Notamacropus eugenii: one gene and its partners. The protein of the gene in region 4 interacts with the protein of the main gene of each other region in a pairwise test. Links are inferred from orthologs where the notes say so. Each region holds a gene or a part of one and is shown on either strand. Other genes may lie near its edges.

Evidence for each region.
Region 1: the proteins of TXLNA (region 4) and PPFIA1 interact in binary tests that used the Homo sapiens proteins (3 or more experiments, as listed by UniProt). The link is inferred for Notamacropus eugenii from reciprocal best matches to the Homo sapiens genes TXLNA and PPFIA1.
Region 2: the proteins of TXLNA (region 4) and DEUP1 interact in binary tests that used the Homo sapiens proteins (3 or more experiments, as listed by UniProt). The two-hybrid records come from large-scale screens. The link is inferred for Notamacropus eugenii from reciprocal best matches to the Homo sapiens genes TXLNA and DEUP1.
Region 3: the proteins of TXLNA (region 4) and DTNB interact in binary tests that used the Homo sapiens proteins (3 or more experiments, as listed by UniProt). The two-hybrid records come from large-scale screens. The link is inferred for Notamacropus eugenii from reciprocal best matches to the Homo sapiens genes TXLNA and DTNB.

The regions. Positions count from the first base shown.
Region 1 is NC_092873.1:22,487,626-22,495,415, reverse strand, and holds the start of PPFIA1 (liprin-alpha-1), read right to left. Parts: upstream 3,018-7,790; 5' UTR 2,884-3,017; intron 1,268-2,883; coding exon 1,004-1,267; intron 1-1,003. UniProt on the Homo sapiens protein: May regulate the disassembly of focal adhesions. May localize receptor-like tyrosine phosphatases type 2A at specific sites on the plasma membrane, possibly regulating their interaction with the extracellular environment and their association with substrates.
Region 2 is NC_092876.1:165,501,992-165,509,540, reverse strand, and holds the start of DEUP1 (deuterosome assembly protein 1), read left to right. Parts: upstream 1-4,541; 5' UTR 4,542-4,897; coding exon of another isoform or gene 4,898-4,903; 5' UTR 4,904-5,078; coding exon 5,079-5,096; intron 5,097-5,334; coding exon 5,335-5,408; intron 5,409-7,549. UniProt on the Homo sapiens protein: Key structural component of the deuterosome, a structure that promotes de novo centriole amplification in multiciliated cells.
Region 3 is NC_092872.1:526,514,823-526,521,885, reverse strand, and holds the start of DTNB (dystrobrevin beta), read left to right. Parts: upstream 1-4,046; 5' UTR 4,047-4,177; intron 4,178-7,063.
Region 4 is NC_092876.1:77,660,305-77,668,089, forward strand, and holds the start of TXLNA (alpha-taxilin), read right to left. Parts: upstream 3,005-7,785; 5' UTR 2,825-3,004; intron 2,378-2,824; 5' UTR 2,348-2,377; coding exon 2,170-2,347; intron 1,687-2,169; coding exon 1,348-1,686; intron 697-1,347; coding exon 605-696; intron 1-604. UniProt on the Homo sapiens protein: May be involved in intracellular vesicle traffic and potentially in calcium-dependent exocytosis in neuroendocrine cells.

The DNA of each region.
Region 1 (7,790 bases), on a different chromosome or scaffold from region 4:
CCCAGTAATTACAGCAAGAATCCAGGCAATGAGGGCCTGGAGGGGAAGATTGTCAGGAGAGAAGGGGGCATATTCCAGAGATGTAAAGGTGAAATGGACAGGCTTTGACAACTGGCCAGGGTCACAGAGTTAATGAATATCTGAGGCTGGATTTGAACTCAGGTCTTCCTGACTCTATCCACTGAACTATTTATTCTCCCCCCCTTCTTAGTTTACATAAATTAGGTATTTTTTAAACCATTCTATAATTACCATTATCACAGGAACAACACTTCTGAAAACAGCCATAAAGTTTTTGGTTCTTCCTATTCTAAGCTTACGCTCGTGATCACAGTCTACCATCTGAACTACTCTAATAACCGAACTGCCTTAAGCCACAGATCCCTCTGTCCACATGCAGTTATAGGAAAATATTTACCAACGGTGCAAACTCGTAAGTGCCTTTATCTTCATTAGTCATTCTGGAAAGGTTCCCCATTAAGTCAAGAAGCAGAGATGTAAAGGGGCTGACTAGAACATTTCCCAGTCACTTTCCGAGTATTTTTCTTCAGGTCATCATGTTTCCAAAGTCAAACAATGAAGGATGGACTTTGGTGCACTGGTGACTGAATAACAACTCAAAACACAAAAACCAAGTCTGACCCCCATGCAGCTACTCCCCAAATTCACATGTGCAGAGGGTGCTGGTGGGAGGGAAGTTCAGGCAGAGCCTGAGGCAGGCAGGCACTGCAGTAACCTCACCCCAACAGGACAGATGAATAGTCACAAATTAGGAAGGAAAAAGTCAGGGACGGGGCATATCTGAGAACCGTCAGATGTACATTTAGAGTCTTGTTTGGTTTTACTTCCAGTGAAGGGCAGAGAACAGCCTCAAGAAATTACCACCACACGTGGTCCCTGATGGACCATTTCATAGATAGTACTGCAGATTTTATTTGAAATTTTCTGACTAAGTCACACCATGCAAAACATTTAGCAAGATCAAGGTTAAAAACATTCATACCTGTGGGAGTGCAGTATTGAGCTGTCTCTGCAAGGAATCTCTTTCATGGCCAACCTCATGCAACTTCCCCTGAGTCAAGGCAAGCGTTTCTTGAGTCTCTCGAAGAGTGTCCAGAAGACGATCTCTTTCTTCCAACATGGACACCATTAATTGTTCAAAATGTGAATCAGCATCTGGCTGTAAAGGGGAACCAGAACCATGGCTTCCACCTCCTCCTGGGGGAATTTCTGCCTCACTGATGGTTGGCATCACCTCGCACATCATCTTGAAATAAAAATTCAGACCATAGTCATTAAATGCAACTCTAGAGTCCAGAAGCAATTTAGAACAATGTGCAAACTCAATACATCATCACAAGTTAAAATGGAAAAGCATATTTTCTTTCTGGCCTTCTTAAGAGTAATGCTGTCTCTAAGTGCTACACAAACATGATGTGAACTGGAAAAATCAGAACATCCACCAGACATCTAAAAGCCAAGAACTCTAACTGAATGAACGTAGAAAAGATTGGTATGTGCTAAAACTTGATCATCACCTTTCATTAAAAATATATAAAAAAATTTTTAAAAAGGAAACTTGGTGACCTCTTAAAAAGCAGCATTTTTTCTTAGTTGCTACTTTCTTAAAAAATGCTCTTTCATAGTTTCTAGTTCCTGGTCAAAGAAAGCAACAACCCACAAAATATACCTGGTACCCCATCATCTTTCAAGATGCCAAAAGAATAATTAATCGATAGAATGGACAAGTGCTAAACCCATCAAGGTCAATCCAGGAATACGTATGGGCTACTACTGGAGAGGACAGGTAGAGGTCCAAGTTCTTGCACTGGACTTGGTGACTAGAACAAAAAGAAGCTAAATTATTCAACAGCTGGGAGAGCTTTGGACCGCAGTAACCACTCAGCCTTATGGGGATGGGCTACAACAAACACTTAGTGTGTAGAAACAGTGGATCAACATGGTCACAGAGAAAAGGGGACAGAATAAAGACGAATGGCAAAATTTGAGAATACCTCTCAAATATTAAGGGATGAGAAAAAACGACTTTTAAACAGGATTTGAGGAAAGCAGGGAAATCACGGCTCCTCTAGCCCAGGGCTTCTTGGTCGTGCCCAAGACCCCATGAACACCGTGCAGCCCTTCTTGGACGGTTTTGAAATGCATTAAAGAAGATAATGCAGAGAAAAGCAAAGAAAACATACATTTTGCAAGTTCCCTGCCTCCGGCCCCTGAAGACAGCTTTGGTCCAGGAGTTCACAGGAATAAGTCCCCCTCTCCGTCTCACACATGCTACAGTATCACCGCCTGATACAGTATCGCACCAACAGACAGGACCAGCCGCCTTTCTGCCCGGGGAGAGCTTTCGGGGTACACGCAGGATTTGTATCAATACTCAATACACAGTTACGAAGCGCCTCCTCCGCTCCAGGCCCCGGACAGAGAAGTGAACTTGCGGCTGCCCCGGCGGGACCAGGAAACAGCAGGAAAGTCAAAGACAAAACACCCCCTCCCAGCTCGGTGGTGCCAAGTCCTTCCTTCGGGGGCGGCGGAGGAGGAACCTCCCGGGGACCCCCCAACCCCCGTCAAGCCCCGGCCGGGGGTCAGAGGTAAAATCAGAGCCTTCGGCGAGGTCTCCAGGAACACAGCAGGCACTTAATAAGTGCTGACTGTACAAGGTCTCCGGCCCGGCAGCGACGCCCCGAGGAGAAGGGATCGCTGGACCCGATCCACCCCGGCTCGGCGCCCTAAGGTGAACCGTCCGACCCCTCGGTGCCTCAGTTTCCCCACCTCCGCGGGGGACGCCCGGCCCCCACTCCCCGGTCCGAGCTTGCATCCCGGCCACGACGGGGAGCTCCCTCCCCGCCGCCGCCCGGCACTCACCTTGGCTCAGGGCCCGAGCCGGCGCCGGCGCCCAGACGGAGCCCCCGAGAGGAGCCGAGGCCGCGCGGGGAGGAGGAGGGAGGCTCGCGGCCGGGGCGGAGGAGGAGGCTCGCGGCCAGGCCGGAGCCCGGGCCCGCTGCCCCGACCCCCGACCACCGACCCCCGAGGCAGGCCGGCCCGCCCGCCCGCCTGTCCCCCTGCCCGCCTGCCCGCCGCGGCCGGACCCAGGAGCGGCGACGAGTAGGAGGCAGCGGCGGCGGCGGCTGTGGAGGAGGAGCGGCGGGAGCGGGCCGGGCCGGGCCGGGACGCGCGTCATCCGCGTCATCCGCGCGTCATCCGCCGCGGCGGCGGCGACGTCCTGGCGTCACGACGTCCTGGCGTCAGCGCCTCTGCGTCGGCCCGCGGCCGTCTGCGGCTGCGTGCGTGCGTACGTGAGCTTGCGTGCGCGCGCCTACGGGCCCTTCCCCTGAGCTCCCGGGGAGAGCCGAAGGAGGAGCCCGAGCTCCCGGAGGCGTACGCGTGCGCGGAACTACCCAGGTGTAGTTCTTGGAGTGGAAAGGCAATTCACGCCCATCGTCCTCTACCCCGCCGCCCCACCGGGATGCTAGGGGGACGTGCGCGTGCGCGAAACGACTCACGCTTACTTTGGGAAAGGAGAGGGAAAGGTAGAGGGAGACTCTGGGACGCCCGAAGTATGCGCCTGCGCGGAACGACCGCGGCGTGGTCCGGCGGAGAAGAGTGTGGGGCGACGTCTGCCGATGTGCGCGTGCGCCAACAAGCCGGCGGAGCGAGGAGCCCCGCGGAGACCGGGAGAGGAAGAGATGCGCGAAAGAACCTGAGGGAATAAGGAAAAGAAAGATGGAGGAAAGAGATAGAAAAAGAGGAGGCGGAAAGGAGGACAAATAGCGAAGGAGAAAATGGAAGGAAAAGAGGCAAAGATGGAGACGGGGGGACAGGACCGGGCCCAGGGAGCCCAGGAGGACCAGAGGAAAGAGAAGGGCGCCATGGGCCTGCAGAGCCTCCGGGAGCGCCCCCCACCTCTGCCTTCGTCCTCCGGCGCCCGGGGCCGCTTCCGGTCCCCGAGAGATCGTGGGGGGGGCGATGCCCACTCGGCATCCGGACCCCCGGGGACTGGAGGGCCCGAGACGCCCCGGCCCGGTTCTGCCGCTCCCCCAGGGGATGAAGGATGAAACACCTACAAATCCTAGAATTGGGAGGGTTCCTACTGCGGACCCCCGGGAGTAGGTCACGTGCTTAACTACCTGCACTAAATGGGATCATTATGCAAATTAGGGTAGATGTTTCCCCAGGAGACGCGCGGTCAGATTTGCATGATACATTAGCCCGCGGGACTTGGGGCAAACCCTGGGCTCCCCACTAAGGAGAAGTAAGGAGTAGGGTGAGCGCTCTGTCCTGTCTTCATTCCTTTACGGTGGGACTCAGCTGAGAAAACAAAGCAAAGCTGAGCCAATTCCACCCGGAGAGGAACCCTAGAAAGCACCTAGCCCGAGCCCGTCATTTTAGAGACAGGAAAACTGAGGCCCAGAAAGGAGGAGGGATCTACAGTGTCCGTCCCACGGCTGGATATTCCCTGGTACTCGTCTCACCCTTCCTTCTGAGACGGGAGAGACAGTGGAAAGAGCCCTGATTGCAGTCCTGTCTCATGCTGAGCACTCCTGTGACCTGCAACAAGTCACCACCCCCTGGGCTTCACTGTCTTCCTCTTTAAAACGAAAAACTTGGAGTAGGTGGCTTCTGGGTCTGCTACTCCACGATACTGTGATCCCAAGCTCCACCTCCGTCGTTCCCCATTAGGTGCAGGATCCTGGAGGGCAGAGCGCTGCATCCTACTTGTCTTTGCAGCGGAAAGGTCTCGCACCCTTGGTGCCTGCATACAGCAGGCGCTTCATGAATGTCTGTTAATGAATGAGTTTAGTGAGTAGCAAAGCCGGGTCTCTGAATTTCCAAACTGGTTCTCTCCCCACTACAGAGCTCTCTAGGTATTGCTTGGGGGCAGACTAATACAATTCAATCAATCGTTCTTTAAGCACCTCCGAGGTGCCTGGCATCCTAAACTGGATGGGGATACAAAAGGAGGAAAATGGAAGCTCCCTGCCCTCAGGAAGTGCACAATCTAAGAAGATATACAACTACAAAATGCTTCCTAAGTAGCCAAGTTCAAGGCACTTGAGAATATAAATACAAAAAAAAAAATCCTCCTTAAGGAGTTTGCATTTTACTTGGGGTTAGGAGGACAACTTGTAGCAAATAATTAAAAACTAAAAACCACTTGGTTTTCTGGACAGCCTGAAGGGGAGGGGAGGGGGATCAGCAAAGGTCTCCTGTAACCTCAGGCACCAGAGTTGACCCTACAAAGAGGTCAAGGTGAGGACGGAGGGGGAGCACACAGCCTCCCGGGCGTGCACAGGCATGAACACTGGAGAGCAAATGTTGAGTTCAGTCAACAGCGCTAGGCTCAGTTTGACCTGCCCATCAGCGTGTGAACAAGAGTAAGATGATGTCCGAAAAGCATCAGGGCCACGTTGGTGAATGCCAGGGTGAAGAGTTTAGATTTGATCTTAGAGACGATGGGAAGCCACTGATGATTTTGGATGGGGGGGGGAGGGGCGGTGTTGGTGGTATGATCAAATACGTGACAGAGAATATTAACTTAGCCACCTTTTGGAGAATGGAGAGGGCGGAGTTTGGAAGAGAGGTGACCCATGAGGTGGTTGTAATCTCAATGAGGGATGGTGGGAATGATAGGGTGAGATGTCGGGGAAAGAGAACTGACCAGACTTTACAACTGATTGGATAAAGAAGTGGAATGAGTCAAGGAGGACTCCAAGGTGGCATCCCTGGGTGATTGGGAGGATGGAGAGTGGAGGAGGGATGACTTTCTAGGAAATAGTTCTATTTTGGGCATATTACGAATGAGATGCTGATAGGACATCAGGTGTAAATGTCTATTAGGCAGACTGGAGTTAAGATGACAGGTAAGGGCTGTGTATATAATTTTGGGATTCTTCTGAATAGAGATTTCAATAGAACTCACAGAAGCAGTGAAGAGGCTGATTGCTATAAGTGACTAGAGAGCCAGTCTTCAAGTCAGGAAGACAACTCCAAATTATACCTCAGATAGATATCGACTGTGGGACTCTAGGCTAGTCACAACTTCTGAGTGCCTCTTGGCAACTCTATTAGTTGTGGAGAAGGTACTACCCTAAATGGGTGGGCTAAGTTTCTTCACCTGGAAGTTCCCTTCCTGCAGAGATGAAACCATAGGTCCTTTTGCTTTGGGAGCTGGTGGGCTTTTAAGGACAATGTCCAGCAAATAGGAATCCCAGGACAGAGCCTTATAGGATACCCAGGGTTAAGGGGATAGAGCCAGATGATGGCTTTTCAAAGGAGAAGGAAGAGCATATTGTTGAGTTGTCTCAGGTTAGATGGTGAGTTCCTTGAGGGCAGGGATTGTCTTTTACCTTTTTTTTTTTTTTTTTTGTATCTCCAGGGCTTAGCTTAGTGCCTGGCCCATAGCAGGCACTTGATAAATGTTTATCAATTGATAATTTTGTAGTCTGACAGATAGGAAAGGCAAGGAAGAACAGGACTCAGGTAGGGGTGAATGACTGAAAAAGGATGAAGGGAGCGGATGGGGGTGGGAGGGGAGCATCGAATTTAGCAGTTGAGATGCTTGAGAGAGATAAGGAAAAGGAGAGAGAAGAGAGGAAAAGATGAAAGGAGGAAGGAGAGAGAGAAGGGAAGGGAAGGGAGGGGAGAAGAGAAAGAAGAGGGAGAGAGCAGTTTTAGTCAGGTGATGTGGTCAGAAACTAGACTACAAATGGCCAAAGAGTGCATTTTAGGGTTAGGGTTAGGGTTAGAATCCAGGACAAATACTTATTCTATTAGAAGTGTGAACAAAATTTAAGGAAAGATTTAGGCTAATAGCTGGGAGATCTGGAAGGTTCAATGAGCATTAATCCTGGTGGGAGGGCTTTAGCTGGGCCCTGGGGTACCCAAGGGTGACAGACAATTTAGTGCCTGCCCTTAAGGAACTTACACTTTTGAAAGGAAATAAGATGAGGCATCTCCCCCTCCTAACTCTTTCCAGCATCTGAGGTACAGGAGAACTTTCGAGCCCCCTGGGGGGAGAAGCTACTTAAAACCATCAAGCCTTATCAACAAATCACTTTTACTAAGCACTTGCCTCCCTTTGGGAAAGGGATAAGAATACGAGTGGTGTATCCAAAACCGAAATGGTTCTCTTACTGATGAGATCACCAAGTGAAAGGGTAGAGAGAGAGAGAAGGCCCAGAACCGAAGCCTGAGGAACACCCCTGGTTGGAGGGCATGATCTGGAGGAGGATCCAGCGAATTATCATCTCTAAACTGATGATTCTCAAATCCACCTTTCCTGCCCCAACCTTTCTAGTGAGCTCCAAATTTACATCTCCAGATGTCTTTCAGACATCCCGTTCTGGATGTCCAGTAGACAGCTTAATGTCCAAAATGAAATTCCTTGTCTTTTCCCCCTCCTTCCTTCCCATCCTCCCAGTCCCCCAGGTTCTGAACCTGGGAGTCATTCTGGACCCCTTACTCTCACCTACCATATCCAATGTGGTGCCAAGGCCTGTGAATTTCACCTTTGCAACAGATCTCAAATGCATTCCTTTCTCTCCTCTGACATTGCCACCACCTGGCAATTGGACTGAGGCAACAGCTGCTGGTGATCCTGCTGCCTCGTGTCTCTCCCCACTGTAGCCCATTCCCCATTAGGCCACCAAAGGCAATTTCCTAAAATGCAAGTCTAACCATGTCCCCCTCTCCCACTCATTAGACTTGGACATCCCTTTCACCTCCAGGATCAAATACAAAATATTCTGCTTGGCATTCTAAGCCCTTCCCGA
Region 2 (7,549 bases), about 88 Mb from region 4:
CCCTCCTCTTTCTGCAACCATTATAATAATCTCAGAAGCCCTTTCCTTTCTCTGGAACTAACTCCCTTTTGCTCTCTGTTCCCTTACCTTTTCAAAAATTACTCTTAAGGAAGGTTCTGATATTAGTAATTGATACCTTACATTGGGGTATTCATGCTTAAATAGTTAACTCTAATTGTAGAAGACTTTATCCCTCTGGTGCAGGGGGCAACAGGCAAACCTCATGAGAAGATAGGGCAAATACTTATGGGGTTGAGGTATATCCCAGGCAACAGTGGAATCACGGTACCCAAACAGCTAGGTGGCATAGAGAATAAAGCCAGTTTGGAGTTAGGAAGACCTGAGTTCAAATCTTGCTTTAGATACTTTCCAGCTGTGTAATCCCAAGCATGTCTCAACCTCTCAATCTCAGTTTTCTCATCTGTAAATAAAACAAGGGCTGACGGGGTAGATTTGATGACTTCTAAGGCTTCTTCCAGCTCCAAATTTATGATCCTAAGCAGTCTTCTACTTTGCTGTTGACAGTCTTGCCCCTATACTTACCTTAATTTGTAAAAAATGTGGCTTAAATCACAGGTACGAGTTAGTCAAAAAGCATTTATTGAGTGTTTACTATAAGCCAGACGTGCTAAGGCCTGGAAAAACAAAGAAAGGCAAAAATAGTCTCTTCCCCAAAGGAGGTTACATTCTAATGGTAGAAACAACATACAACTATGTATACACAAGGTACACAGACAGACACACAGATAGATGGTAGATGGAAGGTAATCTCAGAGGAAAGGTATTAACATTAAGGGGGACAGGAAAAGAACTGGTAGGATCTTTGGGCATATTGGAACTAGCTAGTACCAGCTCACAAGAGTAGATTGTTAAATTTTCAGCCTGAGCATTTGCACCCCAGACATTGGCAAACTACAAATCAGGGCTTGATTTGTTATTATGCTGGTTGTCTAGAGTCAGATTTTAAAGTTTCTTGAGAAATCAAACTCTTCCTATTCAGCCATATATTTCTATAAGTTCTTCCCACAGATCTTAAGTCAGACTTCTGGATCTTCATGATAATGAATTTATGTAAGTTCCTAATGCTAAAAGGGACTTGCTCAATATTGCTAGCATATGGACTAGTGCGAATTCATATCGGGTGAATGAATATAAGTGACTTTGGGCTATCCTATGATAATAAGTTAAATTTCTTTTCAAGATCCATTTTCCCTTCTCCAAATCAAGGATGAAATTTAGAAATGATTCAAGAACATGACCAAGTCTTTCAACATCATAGAAGATTTTAAGTGAAGATGGAATGAAGACTCTTCTTTATTCAGTCACAGTGGGAAGAACAAAGGAACACTTACTAGAACTCATTACCTAAGCCACTTATAGAGTACATCTAAGAAATTCATGCTGATGAGAAATGATCAAATTTGTCTTTTATAATTTTAATGGAACTGGATGGATATACAAAAAAGTATTAAATGAACAGTTGTAATAAAATAGCAAATCAGTGTCCATGTTATGAAAGTGAAAAATAAACAAAAGAGCTCAAAATTTACTAGAGGGAAGCAATAAAACTAAGGTGAATTTTCATTTTTCAAAGATATTATATTCATACATATGAATATACATAGCCACACACCTTCACTACTATTTCTGAGTAGGGAATACTCATAAATTTTGTCATAGGTCGTTGGTTACATTTTTGCCTGGCACTTTCTGTTGTAAAACTCAAGGCACGTTGAAGATGAGCCAGTGTGGCTATCCATGTGGGCAGTTAGGGAGCACCTACTGTTTTCCACCGTCCTGTCCCTTCTTTTACACTTTAACTTAAGATCTGGAGCTGGCCAAGGGGATCCCAAAAAGCCCCCTGGTATACAGGACGAGCCCCGCTGGAACGCAGGCAGGGCAGCGGCACCCTCGGAGTGTCCCGGGGCTTCCAGGCGCGCTTGGCCTTGGCATTCCTCCGCGGGTGGGGTCGGGCACGCGTTGCCACAGCAACCTGGGGCGCCTTGGGAAGCCGCGGGAGCCGTGGCGGGCAGAGCCAGTCGGAGCCAGGCCCGTAACCGCCGCGGCAGCCACTGCTGCTATTGCTCCGGCCCGGCCGGAAGGAAAGCTGGGGAAGAGACGGGCCGAGCCTGGCCGAAGAAAGGACAGTCTGGGTCGGGGCCGGAGCCGGAGCCGGGGCTGGGGTCGAGGCCAGGGCCACGGCACGCTACTCAGCGGCTCGCCCGGAGAGGCCGGGATCGTGGCGGGCTACATCGACTTTACCCTACTCCTCCTCCCCTCTTTCGGACGGTCAAGAGCCGGGAGCAGGCAAGGTACTTAAAGGCGCTCCGAGGTCCAGGCCCGCTCCCGGTGATCCTCCCGAGTGTCCCCGCTTCTCCCAACACCCGGGAGCTGTCCCGGCCCGGACAGGGGGATAGGGAGGCTCCCCGGGCCGGACCCCGGGGAAGCGAGTGGCGAAGGATGAGCCAAGTTGGGAACTTTGTGCGGATTAGGGGTTTGAGAGGTGGTGGTAGTGGGGCTTTGGAAACGTTTGATTTGAGATTATCCCAGCCCAACTAACCCTCCTTCTCTCACCTCCTTAGTACTTCTCCATCTTCCTCCTCCTCCTCCTCCTCCTCCTCCTCCTCCTCCTCCTCCTCCTCCTCCTCCTCCTCCTCCTCCTCCTCCTCCTCCTCCTTCCACCTCCTTGAAGTCACCTCCAGTTATCCTGATCTGTATCTGGCCACTGGACCCAGTTGGCTCCGGAGGAGAAAGTGAGGCTGGTGACTTTAAACAACCCTGACTCACTAAAATCCAATTCACTTGCATGTCATGTCATCGCCATCCTGATGTCATGGTCATCCTTCTACCTCCTTAATACTTCTCCATCTTCCTCCTCCTTCCTTCTTTTCTCCCGTTTTCCTCTTCATCCTTCTCCTCCATCCTTTTCTCTGTCTTTCTCCTTCAAACCCCTCCTCCTCCAAACCCTTCCTCCTCCATCTTCTTCATCCCTTCTTTTCTATCCTCCTTGTCTTCTTCCTCACCTAATTTTTTCTCCCTCTCCTACTCCTCCTCCTCCTTTTCCTCCCCTCCCTCCTCCTCTTCTTTATAATACTCTAATTTATAGAATTAGAGTATTTTTGTATTTTTCTCTTTTCTCCATAAGTAGCCTTTAGTGGTATATTCCATTTTATTCTCACAGATTTAAATATACATATATGTCTATGTATATAGATATACATCTATACATAGACACACATATATTTGATGGTTGATGGAACAAACAACTCTGAAATAAATAGGCAGCAAGTATTTTTAAAGTCTGGGACTTACTCTTTGAAAGCTGACTTCTGGAATCAACTCTAGAATGGACTTCAAGAGCTGTAGTTTTCAGTGGCTAGAGTACTTGAATTTGTATCATATCCTTGAGCCCCCTACATATTGGTGTTCCAGAAAAGGAACAGAAAAAAAAGGCAAAGAAGTTTACATGAAGCTGAACATAATCAACCAACAAGTTTTTATTAACCATATAACAATAATAGCACTTATATAGCACTTTAAAGTTTGAAAAGTGCTATACATATGTTATCTTGTGTGGTCTAATATTTCAGGTACTGGGTATATACAAAATCAAGTACAACTTAGAACTTGCTCCCATGTGGCTTATATTTTATGGGGGGCAAGCAATATATTAAATACAAAATAGTTAAATACTTGATAGTTGGGGAGGGCCAGCACTAGCAGTTAGTTGAGGAGGGTAGGCATAGAAGGTGAGGAAATCAGGAAAGACATTTTAGAGAAGACGGTGCTTGATTCTGTGAGGTGTAGGGGTGTGATAGGAAAATGAGAGAGAGAGAGAGAGAGAGAGAGAGAGAGAGAGAGAGAGAGAGAGAGAGAGAGAGAGAGAGGGAGGGAGGGAGGGAGGGAGGGAGAGAGGGAGGGAGGGAGAGAGGGCAACAGAGTCCAGTTTGTATGGACCATAAAGTGTGGTAAAGGCAATACATGTATATCAAAACAGGTTGGAGGCAAGTTGTAGAGGACGTTAAAAGAGTTTGTATTTTAAGGCAATATAGAGCTGCTGCATTTTACTGAGAAGGGAATTGACTTGGTCAAATCTTCACTTAAAGAAAATAACTGTGACAATTCTGTAGAGAATAAATTAGAGGGGGAAAGACTTGAGGCAGAGACACCAATTACAGCAGTATTGCAATAGTGTAGGCAAGTGGTGATGAGGCCTGAACCGCTGAGGTTGTGGCTATGTGAATAGAGAGGGAGTCATGAAAAGATGTTGTAGAGTTAGAAATGACACATTTGGCCATCAGCATGACGGGGGGATGCAGGGAAGGGGTCAGGGAGAATGAGACGAGGATAAAAATGAAGTTACTAATCTGGAAGACTGGAAGTCTCAAAAAAATAGGGAAATTTGATAAAGAGTTTGGACAGAAAATTAATGATTTCTGTTTTATTCATATTGACTTTGAGATGTCTTTGTGACATCTAGCTTGAAATGTCCAATAGGCAGTTAGTGATGTAGGGTTAGATGTGGACTAGACAGGAGAGAGACTGTCAATGTATATATAGCTCTAGATGGATATATAGCTCTAGAAGTCATCAGCATAGAGTGATAATTAAACCCATGGGAACTTATGTGGACATTAAGACAATAAGGAAAATGAGGGGACTCAAGCCTTAGCTTTGGAGAACACTCACAGTTAGGGGTGTGTTTGAGATAATGAGCAAGCAATTAGAAAGGAAAGAGGAGAAAAAAGAAAACAATGTCATGAAAATAGAGTATCTAGGAAGAAAGGTGCAGCACAAAGGTCAAGAAGGACGAGGACTAAGAAAACAGAAAAATTGAAAGACTTGGTAACTTTGGAGCGAACAAATTCAGTTAACTTGATGAGACTGAAGTGAGGCAATGAAGGTAGACAGCTTTTTCTAGAAGTTTGACTGAAAAAGGGGGGATGATATAGAATGATAGCTTGAGGGGGCAGTAGAGTCTAGTGAGAATCTGAGGGAGACTTGGGCATGTTTGAAGGCAGGAAGCAATCAAGTAGCTCTAGGGAGAGATTAGAGACAGTGAGGGAAGGAAAGAGTGAATGAGAGAGAGCAAGAAGGTGAGTGTGATAGAGGTTACAGTCTGCTAGAGAAGATGGAAGGGGGGGATGAAGGTCACACATAGGTAAATCAAGTCACTTAGCAGTTCTGTTTATAGTACATTGAAGAGAAAGAGTGTCACATTTTCTAAGGAAAATTTAAAATGGACAATTTTGCCAAGAGCTAGCATTCCATAATTTTCTAGATTAATAAATACTTTAGATATTCTAGATTATTATTTTTTCCCTTTCTGAACAGGTTAAAAGATCAAGAAACCTAGGTAAAATGGAGTCGCGTCTTGAGATAGAGAACCCAGAGCAGAATCTGATGGGGTAAGTGCTGAGGTTTCCTTTCGTACTTGAGAAAATTCTGCTTAATAGTAATGATAAGAGCTTACATTTAGATAACATTTTAAAGTCTACAAAGCCTTTTCTTTACAATACCTCACTAAGAGAAGTAGTACAAGTTACCCCATTTTATGGATGAGGAAACTGAGGCCCAGAGAGATGAACTAGTTTGCTCATAGACAGTAAGTGGCAGAGCTGGGACTTAAACCAAGCTCTTCTGGCTTTAAGTCCAATGCTTACTTGTTTTGGACTTTATTAAAAGAGAAGCTTGATTGTAGTGTAAAAGAACAGTTGTGTTAAAGTAGGGAGACTTCACTATACTTTTAGCTCCTCCACTAACTAGCAGGATGACTTTGGGGAAGTTATTTGACTTTTTCTGAGCTTCAGTTTTCTCATCTGTAATACAGGGATAATACCAGCACTGCCTAGCTTACGAGGCTGAGATGAAAGTATTTACAAAACACAAAGTGTTATATAAACGGGAACTACTTTTAAAGTAAGGAGACTACAAGGCTTTTTGCTGGCCAAAATATAGCACTAAAACTTGATGTTGGTTTTGTGTATATGCATATGTAAATACATGCACATGTGCTGCTGACATATAATGAATATAATTCTAGAGAATACACATGTAATATTAACGATATATGTATATAAAATTAAGTGAAGAAAACAATATAATTATTCTTCCCTTTCTGATCTCAGTTCCTACATTTTTCTCTCTTTCTCTTTCTCCCTTCTCTCTCTATACACACATAAAAATATATACATATGTACATTATATACATACACACATATATAGTATGTGTGTATACACACATGCATAATGCATACACACATACATATACATGTGCACATATATGTATATATGTGTATATATACATATATAATATACATATGAAGAGAGAAAGAGAGATGGGGAGGGAAGGTAGAAAAATTAAAGCAAGAAGGGTGGAGAACAATTGTATTGCTTTCATCACTTTTTTTTTTTTTTTTTAGCTCAAATCAATTTGCAAAGCAAGCGTAAATAATTCTTCGGAATTTCTTTTTTTAAATTTATTTATTTGTTTTCAATTTTCAACGATCACTTCCATAAGTTTTAAATTTTCTTCCCCTCCCTCCATTCTCTCTCTCCAAGATGGCATACAATCTTATGCTCTACACATACATTCTTATTAAACACATTTTCACATTAGTCATGTTGCATAGAAGAATTAAAATGAATGGGAGAAAGCATGAGTAAAACTAAACAAAACCAAACATAGCAAAAGAGAAAATGGTCTGCTTTATTCTGTGTTCTGATGGATATGGATGGCATTTTGCATCATGAGTCTTTTGGAAATGTTTTAGGTCCTTGATTTTCTGTGGAGGACTAAGTCTATCAAAAACAGTCCTCGCACACTGTGACTGTTACTGTGTAAAATGTTCTCCTGGTTCTGCTCATTTCACTCAGCATCAGTTCATATAAGACTATCCAGGTATTTCTGAAGTCTGCCTGTCTATCATTTCTTATAGCACAATAGTGTTCCATTACATTCATATACCACAACTTGCTCAGACATTCCCCAATTGATGGGCATCCCCTCCATTTCCAGTTCTTGGCCACCACAAAAAGAGCTGCTATGAATATTTTTGTACATGTGGGTCCTTTTCCCATTTTTATGATCTCTTTGGGATACAACCCTAGAAGTCAGATTGCTGGGTCAAAGGGTTGGCACATTTTTGTAGCCTTATGGGCATAGTTCCAAATTGCTCCCCAGAGTGGTTGATTCAGCTCATAGTTCCATCAACAATGAATTAGTGTTCCAACTCTCCCACATCTTCTCCAACATTTATCATCTTCCTGTTTCGTCATGTCAGTCAATCTGACAGGTGTGATGTGGTAGCTCAGAGTTGTTTTGATTTGCATTTCTGTAATCAAGTGATTTAGAGCATTTTTTCATATGACTAGAGATAGCTTTAATTTCTTCCTCTGAAAAATGCCTGTTCATATCCATTGACCATTTGTCAGTTGGGAAATGACTTGTATTCTTGTAAATTTGACTCAGTTCTCCATGTATTTTAGAAATGAGGCCTTTATTACAGACACTAGCTGTAAAAATTCTTTCCCAGTTTTCTGCTTCCCT
Region 3 (7,063 bases), on a different chromosome or scaffold from region 4:
GGCAACTCAGCACAAGAACATCACTCGATAGTCAATCTTGAAATCAGTTTGATTATATACTTTGCATGTAAAGGAGGAGAAACTTTATATAGTCAGCAAAAAAAAAAAAGATCTGGAGCTGATGGTAGCTCAGATCATGAGCTTTTTACTGCAAAATTCGGACTTAAATTGAAAGAAGTAGGGAAAATCTTCAGACCACATATGTGTGACCTAAATAACATCACTTATGACTAAGAAGTGAAGGTGATGAATAGATTTAAAGGATCTGGTAGAGTGCCTGAAGAACTACAGACAGAGGTTTGCAATATTATATAGGAAGCAGCAACAAAAGATATTCCAAAGAAAAAGAAGACCAACAAAGGAAAACGACTGATTGAGACTTTACAAATAGCTTGGGAAAGAAGGAAAGTGAAAGGGAAAGGAGAAAGGCAAAGATATACTCAACTTAATGAAAGTAGAATTGCAGAGAATAACAAAAAGAAATAAAGCTTTTCTTAAATGAGCAATGCAAAGAAACAGAAGAAGACAATAGAATGGGAAAGATGAGATTTTTTCAAGAAAATTAGAAGTATCAAGGAAAGGTTTCATGCAAAAACAGGCAGTATAAAACACAAAAATGGTAGGGACTTAACAGAAGCAGAAGAGTTTAAAAAGAGGTGGCAAGAATATACAGAACTATACAAGAAAGATTTTAACATCATTAATAACCACAATAGTGTGGTTACTGATCTAGAGCCATACATACTACAGAAGTAAGTCAAAGTAGGCCTTAAGGAAGCACTGAAAACAATAAGGCTCTAGTGGAGATGACTGAATTCCAGCTGGGCTATTTAAAATCCTAAAAGATGTGCTCCATTCAATATGCCAGCAAAATGGAAAACTCAACAGTGGCCACTGGATTGAAAAAAAAAATCAGTTTATATCCCAATCATAAAGAAGGGCAATGCCATGGAATGTTCAAATTACGAAACAATTACATTCATTTCACATATCAGCAAGGTTATACTTAAGATTCTTCAGGCTAGGCTTCAGCAATATGTGAACTGAGAATTATGAGAAAAACAGGTTCGTTTTCAAAGAGGCAGGGGATCTAGAAACCAAATTGACAACATTCACTGTATTATGGAGAAAACAAGGGAATTCCAGAAAAAAACATCTTTTCCTCCTTTACTGACTATACTAAAGCCTTTAAGAATGTGGCTCACCACAAAATGTGTCAGGTCCTCAAAGAGATGGGAATACCACATCATCTTACTTGTCTCCTGAGGAACCTGCATGCAGGGCAAGAAGCAACAGTTTGACCAAAACACGGAACAACCTATTGTTTTAAGATTGGGAAAGGGTACAAAAATGCTGTACATTGTCACCTTATTTATTTAACTTATAAGCAAAGTACATATCATGTGAAATGCCAGGCTAGATGAATCAAAAGCCAGAATTAAGGTTACCAAGAGAAAGAGCAACAATCTCAGATATGTATTTAATTCTACTCTTAAGGCAGAAAGTGAAGAATGAAGAAGCCTATTGATGAGGGAGTGAAAGAGGAGAGTGTAAAAGCTGGCTTGAAATTTAACATAAAAAAACCTGTTAAGATCTTGGCAACTATTCCTATCATTCGACAAACCAGGGGAGAAGAAACAAAAGCAGTGTCAGATTTTATGCTCTTGGGCTCAAAGATCACAGCAGACAGCAACTGAAGTCATGAAATTGAAAGATGCCTGCTCATTGAAAGGAAAGCCATGGCAAATCTGGACAGCTTACTAAGAAGTGGAGATGTCACCTTGCCAACAAACGTCCATTAATCAAAGCTATGGTTTTTCCAGTAGCAGTATATGACTATAAGGAGGGCTAAGCACCATACAATCGGCAAGATTTTGAGAATTCTCTGGACAGCAAGTAGATCACTTGAAGTATCCACAAAGTTCTGACTTGGGGGAACCTGGACTCTGAAGAGAGGGATCTGAAGACTACTAAAAAGTAGTCTTTTGCTTGTTATGTCCCTATGTTGAAAACCTCAGAAAAATCAATTAAAGCTTTAGCTTGGCTCATGTGTACAATCTCCCCAAAGGGGATCAGACAGTTACTAAATGTACAATATAGCTTAGTTAGAGGACAGCCATTTATTTCCTCTCCACAAAAGAAATCCTCAAAAAACAACTCATAAATGTACACTGTAAAGACTTAAAATGTTACAGTAACTCATTAAAATATGATACAATAAGTCATAACTCCTATTCTACTCTCTCAGGAGGTTGGAACTTAAAAAAATTAAAACATGAAACATTTTGTGGAGCTGCTAAACAATCATTTAATCTTCACCTTGTCTCTGCCCTCTTTGAACAATTTCTTAAAGGTACAGTTCTCTAGCAAAACAAGTCAGGGCTTGAGTTTTTCCTCCTGTTTGTTGGCGGTCACCTTCTCTGAGAAAGGAATAGTTACAGAAAACTCCACTTCTCATCAGCTTCAACTATGAGATGCAAGATCTCCTGACCTGTCAGACTCATCAGGATGCCTCCAAACCTGGAAATGTCCATTTCAGGATTACTGTTTGGTCACTTGTGTTAAGAGAATGAATAAAAAGCAAAAAAGGCAGCCAAGGCCTTGAGATTCCTACCCAGGCTCACTTAGACAAACACATGCTCAGACTTCAATGAAACAAGAGACTGATAAGTTGGGGAGAGGAATGTACCCCTTTCTCTTATGAGAAGAGAAATCCTCACAGAACATGCCATTCTTGTCAAACTGAAAAAAGCAGTCCTCCAGAGGGCAGTCACTCCTTTCAAGGTTTACGGAGGGAGTGGCTCTTTCTGGCTCAGTGGTCAAGTCTCTTTCGAAGCATCTGTCTCCCCTTGCTGCCACCATTGGGACCAAGGCATTTTTACATGATCCCTGAACCCAGATTTTCCCCATGCTAAACCCGAGCATAAGCAGTCCACTGAAAGTGGTCAGGGGAGCTCAGATCAGTTTTATGCATGGTCTAAAGGGGGAATGCTCTAGCTGGAGCACAAAGGTGAGGGAAATTTCACGAATATACAAGTATGTATGGATGCGGATTAGACCTGTATAAGGGAACTCCCCAGGTGAGAAAACTCCCTCTATCAATTCAGTTCAGTATTTTCTCTGTAATTTATAACCTCTTTTAAGAGAGTTGCCTAGTACACTGAGAGATTAAGTTACTTGCCCTGGGTCATATATAGCCACTTGAATGCAGGTCTTCTGTGGCTTGAAGGCTGGGCCAGGTTGTCTCATATTTATATGATTATAATATAAAATGAATAATAAGTATATTTTAAAACCACCACTTAGATACGTTTCAATTATATGGAAAAGTCACATCTAGTTCACGTGAAGGGCACAGGGGTGCATCACCCTTTCAACAGTAATGACATTTATATAATAGCACGTTGGCTTCACAAAATACATTATCTGATTAGCTCCTCACAGTCAACTAGGGAGGTGGGTAATTAGTCCTACTTCACAGACAAGGAAACTGAAGGTCAGGGTGGTTGAGTGACTGGTCCGGGCCACAGTGAACGCAAATCTTCGGCTCCATCCACAAGACCTCCCCGCCCCCCGCTCGACAGGTACAGGTAGCAAGAAGCCTCCTCTCGGGCTGAGGTTCTGCTTCCCACCTTGGCGCAGGCACTGGAGCTCCCACTAGCAGGGATGCCCCGCTTCCAGGTGGCACTTTTTGTCCTAAGGGCCCGGAGAATCTCCTGAGGGGAAACTTCTCTGGGGCCCCCGGCTCCCGGACCCCCGGGACGCCCCACAGCCGGCCGAGCTCCGCAGGGACTGAGGGGGAAGGGCTCGAGAGAACCGGAGTGGAGCTCCGCGCGCGAGGCCCCGCCCCCGCCCCGTGCCTGTTCTCGCGCGGGCGAGGCGCTGAGCCGCGCGCGCCGTCGTCACCCCCTCCCTGCTGCGCGCCTCCAGCCCCCCAGCTCCCTTTCCCCCTCCCCCCTCCCCTCCGGCTCGGGTGCGCGCTCGGGGCTGGGGAAAGCGGCGCGAGCCGGGCGGCTGCTCACGTTCAGGCGCGGGGGCGGCTCCGGGGCCTGGGCGGGCGCTGCTGCCGCCGCCGCCGCGGGCAGCGGACCGAAGAGAAGGAAGAGAAGGAGGAGGAGGCTCCGGTTGCCGCCGCCGCCGCCGCCGCCGCCGGAGATCCTCCCCCCACCCCCGGGAAGTGAGTACTGCTGGGGGGCGGCGGCGGCGGAGGGCAGCCTGCTGCGCCCCCGAAGGAAGGCAGCTGGGTAGCCTGGCAGCCTGCTGGGGTCCTTGCGGGCGCGAGCTCCTGTCCGGGAGCTAGCGGACCCCGGAGCCCGGCTGGAGCGGCCCCCGGCGGGCGGGCTCAGCGCCGCGCGGGAGAGGGGCTGCTGTTAGTGCCGGGGATCCCGGGTCCGCACCGGGGCTCGAGGGGGAGGGGTGCCCGGCGGTGCCCCGGGAGAGCGTGCGGGCCGGGACCGGGCCGGTGCCAAGTGCGGCGTGCCGTGCCAGCGAGGCAGGACCTCGGGTGCCCGGTGCAGCTGCCGAGGCGCTGACCCGAGCTGGCGACTATGGGGCTGGAGGGAGAGCGATCCGAAGGCACACTGCAGTATATGCTTAGCCTCGGGAAAGGGGAGGGTCCCCTCCTGTCCCACCCTCTCCATCTCCCCTGCCCACCCCGTGCCAGGTTTGCAGCTGCTCTTTGCCACTCGAGAACGCGGCGGCGCCGGGGACTCCATGGCGCATTCGGTCCGGGAGCGGGGATGAGCCCTTGCTGATGTTGCCTGGAGGAAGCAGCTTCGAAAGAAGACGATCTGCAGCGAGTGCTGAAGGGGAGAATGGGGCAGGTCCTGGCAGAGGGCAGGTGAAGGAGGCAGGCCCTGGCAGAGAAAGTGGTTATCGGTCATCGAGTCTTGAGAGAAAACAAGAGACTTGCAATTAGAGTGACCTAGAGTTCTGAGCCCCTAAAGGGAAAATAGCTGTGGGATTTGAGGTCAGGTGTATGCCTGATTGTTAGGTTCCTTACTCTGGCCTGGGAATCCGGCCCTCTGGTATGATCATTAACAAATAGTTATTGAATGCCTACTTTAGGTATAGGGCACACAGTGCTAGGTAGGCATTGTAAAGGCCTCTTGAAGGGCCAGTAGTCCATTTGGGGAGACAAGAAACATATGAATACAGTGGCAGTGAGTTTTATAATTCATTACTTAGTTTTAACTTGCTGAACTCCTTTGCTCCTTTATCTGGACATTTGGAGCTTAAATGGCCGGTTTGTGGGAGAAAAGCACAAGGGTCAGATGAATAGCTGAGTGCAGTTTTGGGCTATTTTGGAAGCCCTCAAATTCAATACTTAGAAGGTGGGTGAGAAACCAGAGCCAGGATTTCATTAGCTGCTCAATTGGCCAACCTTTATTTAAGGTGAGCAGTACAGAATCACCGCTTCAGATTAAGGTGGACGTATGGACTTTTCACATGGAAGGTCGTTCCAACCATGTCAACATAGGTCTAACTCCTCAGTGTGAACAGTAACAGTGGCTACTGCTTATGGGATACACTGTTTTCTTGTCTGCATCATGTAAGCTGTATCAAAGGAGTTTCTTTAGGGTCTTAGAATGATGTGGTCTTTCCTTTTAGCTTGTAATGTGCTAGTTTCATGTAGATACTTTTACTTAAAAACCTGTACCCTTTCAGTTTTATCATGACGTCTTTGAGAAGAAAGTTATATGTTTTTAGTGTTGGTGAACTGTGAAGATTAGGATTCTTCTATTTATTCTGTTTCTTAGTTGAGTTTAGGGGTCTCAAGTTCCAGGCTGTTGTTTGACTTGCTTGGGTTGCACTGCCTGTTGGGTTACTTTGTCTGCCAAATTAAAACTTGACCTTTTATGAGTTCTGAGAGAATTCTTAGTACCCATAGGTGAAACTGGCCTTTAGAGTATAGTATGTTCTAGATAATACTGATAGATTTCAAAAGATCGAAGTAGTTCTTTAGTTGTGAACATATATTTAAGTAAAGCACACATATGCCAAGCACTGCGCTAAGCACTGGGTATACAAAGAAAGGCAAAAACCACTAGATCTTGGGATACAAAGAAAGGCGTCAACAGTGATAGTAGTAAACACTACTGTTTGTGCTTTGGTGCTATTAAATGACATATTTTAAATAGTTTTCATGAAATTTACTTGGGGAAGAGATGCTGGCAGCATATTCTTGTTAACTGTTCTAAACATGTTTTATAAATTCTAGACATTTAAAATAAACTTCCTACACAGGGAGTGAAAATTTTCTATTATGTGTATGCTGCTATTCCTTAGAAACAAAGTTCCTACTGGTAAAGGAGATTTAGATGTCAACTTAGCCAGCTTTTAATATATGCCTACTATGGCTAGGTGTGTATGTGTGTGTGTGTGTGTGTGTGTGTGTGTGTGTGTGTGTGAATATAACTACAAAAATGAATTACTTCAAGGAATTACATTTACTAGGTGTGAGGTTATACCATACTTATAGATAAGCAAATATAATACAGATGTAAAATGTTGGGGTTGGGGGAAGTTAAACTAACCACTAGGGGAATTAGGAGGGATTACTTGAAGGAGGGAGCAGTTGAATTGAGTCTTGAAAGGAAGTGGGCAAATTTCAAGAGTGAAAGCTAAAGAGGGAGAACGAGACCTGATAATTGATTGAGGGTGGGGTGGGTGGGAAGGGATGAGAGTGAAGAGTTGAGGGTGACTTCTAGGTTAGGAACCTGGGTGAATGGAAGAATGGTGGTGCCCTTGACAGAATTAGGGAAGTCAGGAGGAAAGATAATCAGCTCTGTTTTGGATATGTTGAGATTGAGATGCCTGTGAGACATTCAGATAAAAATCTCCAGTAGGTAGATGGAGATGTAGGACTGTAACTTACGGGAGAGATGAGGGCTCTGCACATAGAATTGGGAATCATCTGCATAGAGATGACTACTAAATCAATGGGAGTTGATAAGATCATTGAAAATAATTTTTCTTAGGCGCTGTACCTTGTTAGTAGTTGCACCAGGTCACAGTCATAAAATGTGAAAGGACTTTAGAAATCATCTAGCTGAGCCTCCTG
Region 4 (7,785 bases):
CCCATAACAAAGTAGCTAGAGAGGCTGAGGATGGACACTTCACATGTTCAAAGTACCAGGTTATATTTGGAGAAGGAACAGTGTCATGGCTCTGGTAGCCAGGCCCTTCTTGGCTGTGTGACCTTGACAGTGTTAATGAACCACCTTTGAGCCTGCCTCCCCAGCTCCTGAGGAGCACCACTGCTCCCCACCCGCCATCTCTGAGGGCAGCTGCCAAACAGGGGATGGCCCTGGTAAAGTATCTAAAGCAAAGTGCCCCTCTAGCCAGCCCCTAGTCATTTCTCATGTGACCCCATCCACACTGGAGATTCATCACAGGCCCCAAAGTGGGGGAACAACTCCTGAAAGGAGACTCAATCCAATATTTCTGGGAATATTGCAAATACCCTCTCCCTTCTCTCAGAGACCCCGGGGAACACAGCTAGGGAGGCTCTCCTCATCTCTGCCTCCACAGTCTTCGTCAAGGAACCAAATCTGACCCGTCACCTGGTGTAGTGTCCAGGCTGGGATGTGCTGTCACCCACATTTCCTCCTCAGGGTCAGGCCCATGCCAACCTTGGAGTCCCCTAGACTCCACAACCCTGCAGAAGGGCCCAAAACTGACCAACTCAGCATATTTCTTGCATAGCGCAGCCAATTTCTCCTCTGGGGTGCTAAGGGTGTTCAGTGTCTGCATCAGCAAAGTGATCTCCTTCCCTGGAAGACACAGGGGCACAGAGTGACTCTTCCTCACATACGCCTCCACGCAACAGGGTTAGCTCTCAGCCCCAGATCCCCACTCCTCTGTCCGCACAACCCTCAGTTCACTCCCAAGATTTGCCACGTAGATAAAGGGGCAGGCTGAGGAATCTTCCCTGGCACATTCAGTGGGTTGCTTTCCTAGGATCTGTACATTTTTCCTCTTAAAGAGAAAATAAGTGGCAGGAAAGGAAGAGATGGACAAAGAAAAATCCCCAACAGTTGAAGCCTGAGACATCTGGAGCCTGAGCCCTAGGATCCGCATACATGAAACAATTGCCACTTAGAGCCTCTAGAGCAGGCAGGCCACAAATGACATTTACTCCAATTTCTCTCCCTCTTTTTGGCAGCAACTAGGGATAAGTGACTTGCCCAGGGTCTCCAAATTCTCTCTCACCTCTTGAAACCAAATTCTATCAAAGAGGTATTTGTTGTTATGTTCAGTGTCTGCCATACAAAGGTGGGAAAGGACAAAATCTTTGCCCTCAAGGATTATACACCACTAAGGTGGAGTGGAGGAGATCTAACAGTCTCACAGACAAGGGAAATAGCAGGGATAATGTGATAAAACCTTGAAACTCGATGTACCAAGGTTTCCACCTTTCTTACCCAGGCCTTTGGCCTTCTTCTTTTCCTGGACCCGCTTCTGGTCTCGGTCCCCACTCTCATCATTTGCCCGGATCTCTTCAACACCTGGCTCTCCCTTGGTGATTTCCTTCACTCCATTGACTTCAGGGGTCCCCGGCTCTGGTTCTCCATTCCGGGCAGAGTAATTCCTGCTCTTCTCTACCTCATCTGGCTCTGTGTGCTCATTCTGGCCCCCCTCATCCCCTGGTCCCTCCTGACTGCTATCCACACAGTAGGTATTCAATATATCTTCCAGCTGCCGACTCAGCTCCTCGGAGACATCACAAACAGGCCCTGACGGAGAATTCTTGGTCTGCCCCGCTGCAACAAAAAACAGAGCACAAAGTAAAACAAATGGCTCCACGCCATAAAACAAGTTCCTTATAACCGGGCTGTGACGTGTGTGTCATGACGATTATTTTCCTGTCTTGAGAGAGGAACCAGTGAAGCTGAGGGCAGTTTCTTCTTAGCCACCATTACGTACCTAGGACCTGCCAGCCCCCGGAGGCTCCTGAGGGCCCTGATGCCCACAGCCTTCTCCCTCTCCCCCACACTGTCCTGCTTCACGAGTGCGTGCCCAAGGATTCCTGAAAATCTGCCCTTGTGCTCCCAAACAAAGCAACAGGTACACTTCCCGAAGAAGGTCCTCGGGCTGGTGGGAGCCTCCCGCTCCCAAAGGAGGAAGACTCATTTCCAGGCTCCCTCGCCAGCAGAGCTCCAAGCTCCACACACCTCGGGGCGCTCTGCCGGCTGCGGGCACACCCCCCTCCCCCCACGGCTTTGCGGGCCGGCCTGGCACCGTACCGTCATTCTTCTCCGCCGAGGCCTGGCTGGCCGGCCCTCCCGCATTTCCGTCTGCTTTGGGGGCGCAGTCCTGGGGGGCCGGCTGGCCCTCGGGCCTCGAGGTCGGGGCCGGGGCTTTTGCTTTGGAAGGGCTGGCCGGCAGCTTCGAGGCGCCCCCCTCCTTGTCCCGATTCTTCATGGTGCCGAAGGATGCCGGGGCTCAACCAACCTTTCAGAGACAAACCCCCCGCCCTTGAAGGTTCTCGGCCGGACTCCCTGGGGAGGGGGCTCCTCCACGACCCCAGTCAGGCTTGCCTCGGGGGCACCTGGGGGTGCGCAGACAAGCGTCCGCAGGGGCCGGACGGGGAGGTCTGCTCCCACCCCGCAGGCCGGGCCTAGCTCCCAAATCGGAGGCCCTCCCGTCTCAGGGCTTCCCCTCTCAGTAGCCCCGGCACGCTCAGTCCCCGCCTCCCAGGGCCGGGGGAGGGGCGCCACTCCGGGAGACCCCAGCCCCACATCCCACGTGGGCTCCGCCCCGCTCTGCCTCGCGCCCCCTCGGGATGTTCCCGCGCAAGCGCGCTAGCGCCCTCATTCATGGCTCTCCTTCTCCCCCCCCCACTCCCCCGCCAAGGCCCGACTTCTCCCTCTCCTCTCCCTGCGTCCGCGCGCTCCGTACCGCGCGCTCCTCCCGGGCCTGTGAGTCAGGCAGGATGCGATTCCGTCCGGTCCTCGCTCTCCTTTCCCACCCCCGCCTCAGCCGATGCCTCTTCTTCCCCTACGGCCGATTCCCTCCCCCAAACAAGGCTCACGGCGTAGGGTTACCGGCTCAGGCCTCACACCGGAAACGCCGGACAACGGCTGCCGGTGGAGACGCCCGCCCCCTCCCCCAGCCTTAGCCAATCAGAAGCCAGAGGCCTTGCAAGGCCTGTCGGGAAGGGTGAGGCTGCGACGGTCTCAGCCGAGGGGAAGCTGGGCACGAAGGAGGTGGAAGGGGGGAAGAGACGGACACTACAGATCCCGTCATGCTCCGCTGTGAGGATTGAGAACCAATCCCAGGGCGCAGCGGGGCTGAGCGATGTTCCCCTCCCAGTGGGAGGGGGACGGAGCGCGCCAACGCCGACGTGTGTCGTGGCCTGTGCGCCGGGGTGCAAGGCCACCACGAAAGCCTCCCTTGCCTCGAGGGCCTTGTGTTCCGACGCGAGAGAACGTGCCCTAAGGAGGGCTTAAGCCCTACCCGGCGGACTTCTCTCACTATCTATAGGCTGGAGATGATGCAAAAAAAAAAGACAAATTTTATTCCTTAAAAAAGAGAAAATTGAAGTCCGCAGACAGTCTTCCTCCATTCTTGGCCCCGTCCGTTTGTAAGGAGGTACAGCACTTAGGCGCCCACGGCGTGCCGGGCACTGGGCCGATACTTGGGTGGATCCCGCCCACGTGTCCCCAGCGTCGCCTGGGGCCGGATTCGAACTCACCTTCCGGACTGCCCCCTAGTGGGGAGATGGCGCACGCGCACACAGCCCCACAGGCTTCACACGGGCCCCAGGAAGACGAGGGGAGGCCAAGGGGAAACCGCAGAGGATCAGGAAAAGCCTCGGATTCTAAGGGAGAGGAAATCCTGGGCGTAGGGGACTGGAAGGGCAAAGGCTTGGCGGTGGGAAGTAGACCTCCAGAGGGGAGGGTAATAGGGCGGGGCAAGTGTAGGAAGAGCGTGGGGATGGGAATGGGCTGGTGGTCCACACCAAAAGGGGCTGTATTTAATCCTAGAGGCCGTAACTGGGAGCCCCTGGCGCGCCCTGAGCAGAGAGGGGTGCCCTGGGCAGACTGCCCTGTGGACAAGCCGTCTGGGCCGCGGTAAGAGGATGGAGAGGAAAGGAAGCAGGCTGGCGACGTGGTGAAGTGCGGGCCGCTGCGCGGTGATGGAGGTGCTAGGTGGGCAGAAAAGACAAGGTTGACAAGGGGCAGGAGAACTGGAGGGGACGCCATGAGATGGCAGAGGCTTTGTCCTTTGTTCTCAAGGGGACCCTGACATCAGGGAAACGAATGGCATGGCTGGCAGGGAGGGAGGACTGGGCAGGTCAGCAGCCTCACCTTCTCCTCCCCGGATCAGATATTCATCAGGATGACCAGAGATGACCCAGCATCAAGACTGGCAACTGAAAGCCTGGTGATGCTGAGAATCACAGAGGTCTGGAGGAGGGGAGGGATTAAGGGGCAAGCTCATGAATTCCATTTGGTACCTACTGAGTTTGGCTGGCCTTTGGGATATCTAGTTTGAAACGCCTAGTAGGAAATTCCTGATGTGAAACTGCTGTAGAAGAGAGATGTGAGTCTCAGAATTACCTGCACAGATATAATAACTGACTGAACAGGGCGGATGGGATAACTTAAAAAAGTATAGAGGGGAAGAGACAAGGACTCAGGACAGATTTTTAGTTCATGCCCGATGAGGACAAGACATTAGCAAAGGATATTTTAGGAGTGATTAGATCGGTTGGTAGGACAACTGGGAGAGAGCAAGACCATGAGAAGACAGAGAAAAGCCAGCGTCAAGGAGGATGACTTCCTGCCAGACTATCTGGTGCAGTTCTTTTGACAGAAGACAGAAAGACACCCAGTGGGGACAACTGAGTTACTGTCACGCAGTAAAAGATAAAACTAGTCAGAATTCTTAGCTGCAAGCCCAGGGCTCTTGCCAGACAGAGCACTGGAATCCCATCAGCTTCTAGAATGGGATAAGTTGAACCTATTTTCATTCCTTCCAGAGGTGAGATCAGAAATTAGAAGCCGTCAATCCTGGAGATAAAGAGTGGGGCAAACAGAGCTTTGCCACAGGGCACTAAGTTCAAGAGTGTAAAAAATGTTTTCCTCTAGCAGCATCAAAGTTGCAACAGTGACTGATTCCCTTTCCCACTCAACTGAATGCTTGAGGTAATCCTTGTACTATTTTCTTACCGTGAAGGGGGTTTGAGAGTAATTCTTAACAGACTGTCCCAAATGCCACAATTGCTAGTTATAACCCTGCACATAACCTCTCATCATAATCAACACAAAAGGCCAATACAATGTTATGAGCTTCGCTTCATTTATACCATGAAAAAAGCTAATTAAATATTGAATTGTGGCAACCCAGGCTGGAAGCAAGGAGACCTGGCTTCATATTGTTTCAGCTTTTTCACATATTCACTCACTGTTGTAGAATTAGGCCATGACTGATTTAGAGCCTCAGTTTCCTTCTCTATACAATGGAGTTGCATTAAAATCCCACAAGGCTCTGAGACTCTAATTAATGCAGGTCTCTTCCCCCATAGGATGGCTTTGTGCAGACCACAGCCCGTAGGCTACTGTCTTTTTTATCTTGCATGTCCCTCTTCCTATCAGATGTGACCCTTTGTACCAGGAGACCTGTGCTGGCTATCCTGGGCCATCTCCACCAAATGGGGAATTGTCACAGACTGATTATTCTGGTGCAAAGGCAGAGTGGCTACTTCATTGGGATTAGAAACATTGAGCCCAACCTCCATAGGCTAAATCCAGGTATGTAAGGGTATGGAAGCAGCTTCTTTCCTAAGAGGAATGGCCTAAGCTACAGCTGTTCCTGGTCTAGGGGTCCTCACTACTAAGAGCAGCTGTATCCTGTCTTAAGTCTTCCCTTCCTCTTGTCTATTGCCAGGGCCATGCTAGGAGCAGGGACCAAAAAATTTGAGTCTCCAGCTTTCTCAGTGACTGTGTGTACTCCATCCCATGCCTGTTCATTCACCTAACTTTCCCTCATGGTCAATTAGGGGCATCAGTATCAAATCCTCTCCATGCCAACCTCTTCACACCAGGGGAATGGGGCAACTAACGATCTTATAGTGCTTGACAATGAAGTACCTTATGTAATCTTCACAAATGTCTCTAGGAGGCAAGAAATAGGAATATTAAAAAATCAGAACTGAAAGAGAACTTAGTGGTCATTTAGTCCCAATGGGAAAACCTATTCAAATGTACCTGACAAGTGGTCATTCAGCCTCTGCCTGAATACCTTCAATGAGGAGGAACTCACTACTGTTTGAATACTAGTACCACCTTTTTAGATAGATAAAAATAGGTAAACAGAGTTCATGTTGGCATGGCATGTAATGAAGTGGATGCAGAGTAAGAAGATCTATGTTTGAGCTCAGATTTCGCTTCCTACTGATCTTGGGGAACCCTTGGAATCACTCCAAGATTTGGTTTCCTCATCTAGAAAATTATGAGGTTAGAGTAGATTATTTCTAAAGTCATATCTAGTTCAAAAATCTGATTTAAGTGACTTGCTTATCATCATATAAATCAAGGCCAGAGACAAGACAAATAGGTGTGACACTGAATTCAATGTTATTCCTTATTTATCAGAAGGTGCTTAATTAACTTGGAGTCCAAATGGATTTCAGGGGGGTCTAGGAATGTAAATGAAAAAAATTTACATCTCTGTTGTCAACTAGCTTCTAAATGAGAGCATGTTTAATGTTTTTAGAGAGACTATCCCAAAGCTGTTCCTTAGGTCTGAATCCAAGTGGGATCTGTGGTCTCCAAAGGTCTCCTGGTAATGTTCACAGAAGGGAGGCTAATTGTTCTGCTGAAGCCAGTGCATGGCACACCTCAAGCTTGGTATTGCCCTCTCCAGGCACACCAGCCACCTTACTCCCTGGGGTCAGTTTCTTCTAGCTACAAGATGTCAACCTCAATCCAAAGGCATTGCAAGGGCCTAAATGAAAGGAGACTACTAAGAACTTTTCAACAGGTCTTTATTTTTGCATTATATTTGTTACACAGTGTTTGAAACCTAAAGAAATACATTTTTCTCTTCAAATTGATGTGTATATAAATATCATTTGTTAAGTCTGTACTCATCGCGCTCAACTCCACAGTCTGTCTTTGCCCTGTGTCCAGTCTAGAATTTCCCAGCTGTGGCTAATGGATGCCAGAGGGCCTCTAAGCACATTTGGGGTTTGTGGGTGGAAGGTAAGATAGCCAGAACCACAGAGAAAAATAAACATTTTAGAATAAAGGGAAAACCAGCAAAGATTTCTGGGCTGGTTTCTGGAGGGAAGGGAAGGAACCTGCCTGAGGCACAAGCTTGTTTCACTCACTCTTCTCTCCCCTAGTGGTTTGTAGTAGGAAGATGCCATAGACTGGGGTAAATAAACATCCAGTAACAATGAACTCCAGCCCCATTCCTTGGCCAAAACTGGTCTCAGAGTCTGTGATTCTTCTCTTGATAGGGAATAAGTTTGTGAAAGCTAAGCTCTGACCTGGACAATTGTGAGGCAGAGGGTCCCAGATGTGTGTGTGTGTATTTCTCCCTATACAACTCTCTCTTGACCCTTGAAATAATGATCCCACCTCCACCCTGGGATCATTCAGAGATAGGTTTTGCAGACTCCGAGGGATAGTGTGGATTGCTTGCCCTGCACTGGCAGGAAGAAAGGTTTAGGGGTCCCCAGATGTCTATCATAAGCCACCTGAGGTGACCCCTGAGGTAGGGTGGGGAGCAAACTCTGTTGTTTAAAGCAGCCAATAATTCCTCTGCTGATCACCTTGGTGAAAGGCCTCTCTGTCTGCTGGTTCTTTACTTCTTGCCCTGGCTAGGGATTAGAACATCAGATGCTTGAG